2 linked regions of the Sus scrofa genome follow. The protein of the gene in region 1 interacts with the protein of each later gene in a pairwise test. Links are inferred from orthologs where the notes say so. Each region holds a gene or a part of one and is shown on either strand. Other genes may lie near its edges.

Evidence for each region.
Region 2: the proteins of ZGPAT (region 1) and CCDC57 interact in binary tests that used the Homo sapiens proteins (3 or more experiments, as listed by UniProt). The two-hybrid records come from large-scale screens. The link is inferred for Sus scrofa from reciprocal best matches to the Homo sapiens genes ZGPAT and CCDC57.

Annotation. Positions count from the first base shown.
Region 1 is NC_010459.5:62,647,488-62,650,987, reverse strand, and holds part of ZGPAT (zinc finger CCCH-type with G patch domain-containing protein), read right to left. Parts: intron 769-3,500; coding exon 635-768; intron 408-634; coding exon 252-407; intron 1-251. UniProt on the Homo sapiens protein: Transcription repressor that specifically binds the 5'-GGAG[GA]A[GA]A-3' consensus sequence. Represses transcription by recruiting the chromatin multiprotein complex NuRD to target promoters.
Region 2 is NC_010454.4:818,153-822,133, forward strand, and holds the start of CCDC57 (coiled-coil domain-containing protein 57), read left to right. Parts: upstream 1-1,181; 5' UTR 1,182-1,353; coding exon 1,354-1,978; intron 1,979-3,981. UniProt on the Homo sapiens protein: Pleiotropic regulator of centriole duplication, mitosis, and ciliogenesis. Critical interface between centrosome and microtubule-mediated cellular processes. Centriole duplication protein required for recruitment of CEP63, CEP152, and PLK4 to the centrosome.

The sequences.
Region 1 (3,500 bases):
GCTGTTGCACACAGCCCCTCCTCCACCCTCCAGGCACCCAGGCCCTGAAGGAGCGCCCTCTGCGCGTCACGCATGCCGGTCCCTTCCTATGCGCCCCCTGCCCCCGTGGCTCGTGTGGGACCCCATGCCTTCTGGGCTTCTCCGTCTGTGGGGCTTCGGACCTGCCCCCCACGCCTGCCTGCGGGGCTTTCCTCCCGCCAACGCAGTCCCACCCCACCTCCCTGCTCTGGGGCCCCGAGCCGCAGCCACACCTCGCGCATAGCTGGGGTCGTCCGCGTCGCTGTTGTCTGAGTCAGAGGACCCCGTGGGCTCCGTGCGCAGTGGGGGTAGGATGCTGTCCCCTTCCACCACGGCCTCTTTCAACAGCAGAGAGTCAAACTTGACCGTGTAGTAGCCACTGTCCACATCTGGAGGGGCACCAAGGCAGCAGGTCAGCGGCTTTGACTCGTGGTAGGAGCCACACTGGACACTGGGAACAGGGTGGGGATGAGGCCAAGGGTGGCCTTGCTCCTCCTGGGCATGGAGTGGGGTCCCAATGCCCAACGACAGGAGGGGGCACCCGGGACTAACACTGTGACATGTGCAAGGGCTTCCCAGGAAAAGCCCCATCAGGGAGGCCCCTGGAAAGCCTCACCAGTGATCCGTGCTGGGTACCAGAGGCCATCCTGCTGCTTGGCCAGACACGCAGAGCCGGCCTGCAGGGAGCTCAGGTCCGGGTCCTGGAAAGGGCGCAGCTCGTCCACAGAGACCACCTGCCCGTGGGAGAACCTGCAGAGGGGACCGCAGAGTGTGGACTCAGAAACGGGCCGCCAGGGCCCATGAGAGGCCAGTCGACATGCCTGGGCGCTGCCCGGAAGAGAGGGATGGCCAGGGGAACAAGGGCAGCCACATGCACGTGCACAGATTGCACATGCCCGAACACGCCCACACACTGAGCACAGGCACATATGAATGCACTCATGCACAAACCCAGGCACACGTGTGCACACGCATGTAAACACCAACATGTGTACAGGCATACGTGCACACACCCACACAAAATACACATGTACAGCACACACGTGCACACTCTCTCACACACACATGCACAAGTGCACCTCTACGCACGTGCATACAGATGTGCACACAATACACACAGATACACAATCATGCATAGATGTGCACGCGCGCACACACAGCACATACACCCGTGTGCACACGCACACACCCGTGGTACATATGCACACGCGTGTGTGCACACACATGCATAGGTACCAGGCTCCCACTCTCAGGACAGACCCGGGTACCCCAGGGGCCAGGTGTTGGGAGCCATTCCCCAGCCTCCAGGCTAGTGCCACGAGGGGGCTGGCAGCCACCCTGTGATCAGAACCACCTGCTCCCACGGCCTCCTGGCAGACGCGGAGCCCAGACACTAACGGGCGATCAAGGCGCGTGTGTCCGCGTGTGTGCACAGGGCTGCCCTGGCTTCTAGGCATCCGTGAAACCAAGTGGACACCAGAACAGAGGGAGGAGGAGGAGGTGTGAGGACAGAGCGCGGCGACCTTTCACTCTGCCCAATCGCGACACAAAGGAACCACCCGCACATCTCCTCCGAGCCGCCACCATCTCGGGAGGAAGCCCTTCTAAGCCTCGAGGGCATCCGCTCCAGGACGGGGCACCAGCTGCTGGGCGCGGATCCGGGGTGAGAAAGGTGAGGAAAAGAAGGCATTTTCGTCATCTCCCGGGGGGCACAAAGCTGGCCTCAGACGCCTCCCGGGCAGGATTCGGTTCCTTCTCGCACCTGACTGTCCTCAGGCACCCAGGGCACTGCCAAAGATCAAGCGGCACCAGCAGCTGCGAGACCAGGCCCCACGTGTACTGCAGGGGACGCTGTGGGTGAAAAGCCCTGTTCATCTGAGGAAAGAGGCCTAAACCCAGGGTGCATTTGGCCCCTGCACACCCCACACCCCCCAACAAACCTCTCTGCAAGAATCCTCAGGAACACGAGAAGCCCTAAAATCCGGCAGCTTTCTTAACCGGGCAAGTGCTTCTAAGAAGCGGCCCCACGAAATAACAGTGAGGCGTTGCCACTGCAGTGCAGGAGCTCCCGAATCCGACTGCAGCGGCTCCGCTGCAGCTGCGGCTTGGGCTCCGTCCCTGGGCCAGGAACTTCCGTGTGCCGTGGGTGTGGCCGTAACTCAGCATCGTCTTCGTAATGACAATGAGGAGAGTCCCGCAGACTTAGCCACAAGCACCTTCACCAACATGAAAGACTCGGAAATAACCCACATTTCCAGCCATGGGGTGAAGGGCGAGCGTGGGAGGCCGGATGACCCGGGGCGGGGGTGGGGGGTGGGCGCACAGCCGGGAAGAGGCCCCCTCGCGCCTGCACCTCAGGCGGGACCGAGGCGTCTCACCGCCCAGTCGGGAGAAGAGGGACGACGGACGGCTTTCGTTCACGAGGACAGCGTTAAAGATGGGTTCCCCAAACCCGACCCCCCAACGACCCCCCACTATACTCGCCACACCACACTCCAGAATAAGTACAAACTGGAGCCAGAAAAGCAGTGTTTAGAAGGGTTCGACACCAGGGCGCAGCGTGGTTTAGCCCGGGAACGCCAGGGGGGTTCAACGTGGGCGACCCATCCAAGGAGACGGCGCCCGAGCGGAAGGCAGCGAAGAAACACCCCTTCACACCACGGACACAGAAGGATAACCGAAAACCCCGACACCCTCGCATGACGAAAACACTCCACAAGCCACGGGTAGAGGGAACTCCCTCAGCCTGATAAACAGCGTCTGTGGGGAACCCACAGCTGCCATCACACCCAGCGGTGAAAACCTGGGTGCTTCCCTAAGCGCAGGAGCAGGACAAGGACGGCTGCTCTTGCTGATCTCATTCAATACAGTACTGGAAGCCATTTAACAAGAAGGGAAATAAAAACCACCCCACCTGGAAGGGAAGAAGCAAAACTCCCTATTTTTTCAATGACACGGTTGCACACATAGAAAATCCTAAACAGGACACGCGGGCTTTAAAGGGTTAGCCTGCCAGGGCCCCCTTTGCCTGGCAAAGCAATAAAGCTATCTTTTTCTCCTTTATCCAAAAAGAAAGAAAGAAAAAGAGAAAGACCTAAATAATCCACAAAAAATCCTATGAATCAATGAACTCGGCAACGTTAGGGATACAAGATCAACAAATAAAAGTCAGTGGTGTTTAAACACACTAGCAACAAACAGTCTAAAAGTGACACTGATTTCATTCACGACGGTGTCAAAAGGAATAAAATACTTAGAAGCATATATAACCAGAGCTGTGGACTACACAACACCGCTGCAAAGAAATCAAAGACTTAACATAACTGGAAGGAGACCCCACCTTCAAAATTAGCCGACCTAAGACTGTTAGGACGGCAACACCCTTCAAGCTGACTGAGATACTCAGTGCAGTTCCTACCACAATTCCAACCATCTTTTACCCAGAGACGGACAAGCTGATTTTAAAACTCCCAGGGAACCGC
Region 2 (3,981 bases), on another chromosome or scaffold:
AAGGAGCACGTCCTCTGGCCCCTCGGCTTTGCATAGACACACCCCAGAGCCCCTTCCCCGGGGCTGAACCAGCCCTTGTGTAGCTTCTGATCCTCAAATCCATGGGCATCCACTGGGCGTTGTCCCTGCTTTATGAAGAAGCAGAGTCCCAGAAAGTTGTAATAAGGCTGAAGCAGAGCTAGGATTTAAAAAAATGTATTGGGAGTTCCCGTCATGGCGCAGCAGAAATGAATCCGACTAGGAACCACGAGGTTGTGGGTTCCATCCCTGGCCTCATTCAGTGGGTTAAGGATCTGACGTTGCTGTGGGCTGTGGTGTAGGTTGCAGACTCAGCTCGGATTCTGCGTGGCTGTGGCTGTGGCGTAGGCCAGCAGCTGTAGCTCTGATTCGACCCCTAGCCCGGGAACTTCTATATGCCGCTGGTGCGGCCCTAAAAGGCAAAAAAATAAAATTAAATTAAAGAAATGTTTACTATTGTTGATTTACCATGTTCCACCGATTTCTGCTGTACAGCAAGTGCCCAGTTATACGCATACATACATTCTTTTCCCACATTATCCTCCATCAGGTTCCGTCGCAAGTGATCAGATGCAGCTCCCTGTGCTGTGCAGCAGGATCTCATTGCTTATCCACTCCCAGTGCGACCGTTTGCATCTACTAACCCCAAACCCCCAGTCCCCGCCATCCCCTCCTCTTGGCAACCACAAGTAGAACTAGGACTCGAACCAGGACTGTCAGGCAGGTAACCAGGTCTGGAGGCAGCAAGGTTGCCCAGGGCCTGAAGGATGTAGGTTAAAGGTCGTGGGAACCTTTTGTGGCTCCTCCAGGCAGGCCGAGCTGTTTTCACCTGCTCTCTGCACCCATAGGCTCACACCTTCCACTTTCCACGGGTCTTGAATTATTGATCTGCCTGATATTTAATACCCCCTGGACTTCCCTCAAGAGCTGCCTCCTAAAGCAGAGCCGTTCTTACTGTCAGCCAGGTTGGGATGCTCATCCAGGAGTGGCAGGACCAGCTTGGGGACTGCCCTGGGCTGCCAGAAGGCTGCCAGGGTGGAGAAAACACCGTTGGAGAGGAGGGACTGGACCCAAGACTGTGTCCCCCCCCACCCCTCTGTGCCCATCCTTGCCCGGAGCCCTGTGGTGCCACTGGCGGGGAGGCTGAGCGTGGGTGTCTCCATTGGTTGGGACAGCTGCCTTCCCTTCAGCCTGGGTGGAACCTCGGATGCTGGGGAGGGTGTCCCTAAGCACGGGTGGGGGCCTTGGCGTAAAGTTTGCTTGTTGCCTCTGTGAGAGTTTTTTTTTTCTTTTTTTAACTCTTAATTGAACACATTAACACCAAACGCACAGGTTATGAGGGCACACAAACTCAAGAATCCAAACAAGCCAAGCACACTGTGCAACACAGCTCCGAACAAAGGGCATCCCCCGCTCTGCACCAGCGGCCAGCGGCCTCGCCCGGGATGCCGTGTCGGCCTCTTCTACGGCTGGAGGAGCCACGCTGCAGGGAGAGACGCCCCACGTCCTGTGGGCCCGGGCGTTCGCCCCGCGGTAACTGTGCTCCAGCCCACGTGCAGCCCCAGGACCCCCACGCCCCTCGCATCCCGGGCCCCACCGCTGCCAGGTCCAGTCCCGCCCCGCCCCGTCCGGAGCCACCAACAGCCCGGGGCTACGAGGCGGGCGGGATCGCGGAGTCCCGCTGGGCGAGGGAGGACCGTCCCTGCGAGGAGCCTCGGCCGCCGCCCGTCCACCCCAGGACCCCGGGCCCTGGATAGTCCGAGGCCTTCCTCCCTGGGCGGATCCGCCCGAGTCCGGTGGGAGGAGGGGGCGGGAGGAGCCCGGAACCCGGCGCCGGAGCTCGCGTTTCTGGCCGGCGGGACCCGAGCGCTGCACCGAGCGCGCCCGGACCTCGGCCGACGGACTCAGGTCACCATGGCAACGCGGCGGGACCAGAGGCTGCTCGCGGCTGGCGTTCCGGGTGAGGCGCGGGCGCGGGCGCGGGCGGTGCAGGGCTTGGGGGACCGCAGCGCGGGAGGGCGCGGCCTCTCGGGCCACCTGTTGCGGGTGTCGTGCTTTCCTTGGAAAACCGGAGTCGTGCCGGCCCACCGTGCGTGGCTGGGTGCGCGATTGGTGCTGGCCTGCGGAGCCCTGTTCACCGAGCTAGGGCTGTTCCCTGCTCATCTGTTCCCTGCAGCGCCCGGCCGGCCGCCGGGGTCGGGGCACTGGAGGCGTTCGTGGGCGTCGCGCTTTGTTTTGGGAACTCGCGGTTCCCTAACTCGCCCCTACCAGGTGCCTGAAGAGCGGGGCGCTGCGGAGCCGAGAGGCTTTGCCGGGTTCCGCAGCGGGTTCCGCAGCCGGTTCCGCAGCCGGCGAGCTCGGGTCCAAGGCCAGGCAGGCTGGTCCAGAGTGATTCTTTGTTATTTGAGACTCACATACAAGTTGCAAAAGTCTAAATATACAGGATTTATTCAAACTCAGCAGTTATCTTGCGACGACTTTACCTGTTTACAGAATCCAAGCTAGGACCATCCGTGTTTTCTTCGTTTTCTCATTCCTTAATCTGGAGCAGTTGCCCAGTCTTTCCTTGACCTTTATGAGTCAGTTGTCTCGCAGAATGCTCCTCACTTTGGGTTTATCAAAGTTCCCTTACGATAACTTGTATTTTTGGTGAGAAAAACCTTACCAGTGGAATGGTGTTTTCTCTGCACCCTCTCAGGAGGCACATGATGCCAGTTTGTCCTATTACTTCTTTTAAAATGATTTTTATTTTTCCCGTTATAGCTGGTTTACAGTGTTCTGTCAGTTTTCTACAGCACATCAAAGAGACCCAGTCACACACACATGTGTACTTTCTTTTTGTCACATTGTCCTCCATCCTAAGTGTCTAGATGTTCCTATTACTTCTGATACTAACTTTGGTCCTTTGTCCTAGGTGATATCTACAAGGTGTTTGCATCATTAAGCTTCCATTTCCCCCTTTATCTATAGTAAATATTTTGTGGGGAGATACTCTGAAACTATGTACATAGCTTGTTTCTAACCACACTGCCAGTCATCTGGAGGTGAGCATTTTCTGAAAAAAATTATAAATGTACTTGCCAGGCGATGATATTTCCATTCACATTATTTCTTCTGCTTTTATTAGTTGGAATCTTTTTCTTTTTTTTGTCTTTTTAGGGCCACACCCTCAGCGTGTGGAGGTTCCCAGGCTAGGGGTCAAATCGGAGCTACAGCTACCGGCCTGCACCACAGCCACAGCAATGCCAGATTTGAGCCACGTCTGCAACCTACACCACAGCTCACGGCAACGCCGGATCCTTCACCCACGGAGTGAGGCCAGGGATCAAACCCAAATCCTCATGGTTCCTAGTCAGGTTCATTTCCGCTGAGCCATGACAGGAACTCCTATTAGTGGGAATTCTACCGTAAGGACGAATCTTCCATGTTTTAATTTATTCAGTTGTTTATGTTGGTGTAGACATTTTAATTCTATGTTTGTTTCACAGGTTATAATCCATTCCTATCATTTATTTTGGTGCTCTTGTTGTCCAGATCTGGCCCGTTCTGTTTGGTTTTTATGTCCTTTTACCCTGTGTCCTTGTCCCCAACAGTTTGAGCACCTCCTCATGTTTGACACCAAAAGATGTCCCAGACTCATCAGTGCTTCTTTGACCTAGGCTGGAATCAGGCATTTCTGTGAGGAGTGTTGGCTCCTTTTAGTTGAGAAGGTGTTTTCCATAAACCAAGATGTGGGGAGGTGTGCTGCTGGAGTGTCATTGCTTTTTGGCTTTCTCGGCGGGAGGAGCCGGGAGCCAGGACACTGCACGCCCTGTATATACATCTGTATCTATTTCTAGATCCACATGTCAGCGTGTGTTCAAAACTGGGTTTAGGAGTTCCCGCTGTGGCTCAGGGGTAGCGAGCCCAACGCGTATCCATGAGGATGCAGGGTCGATCCCTGGCCCCACTCGGTGGATTCAG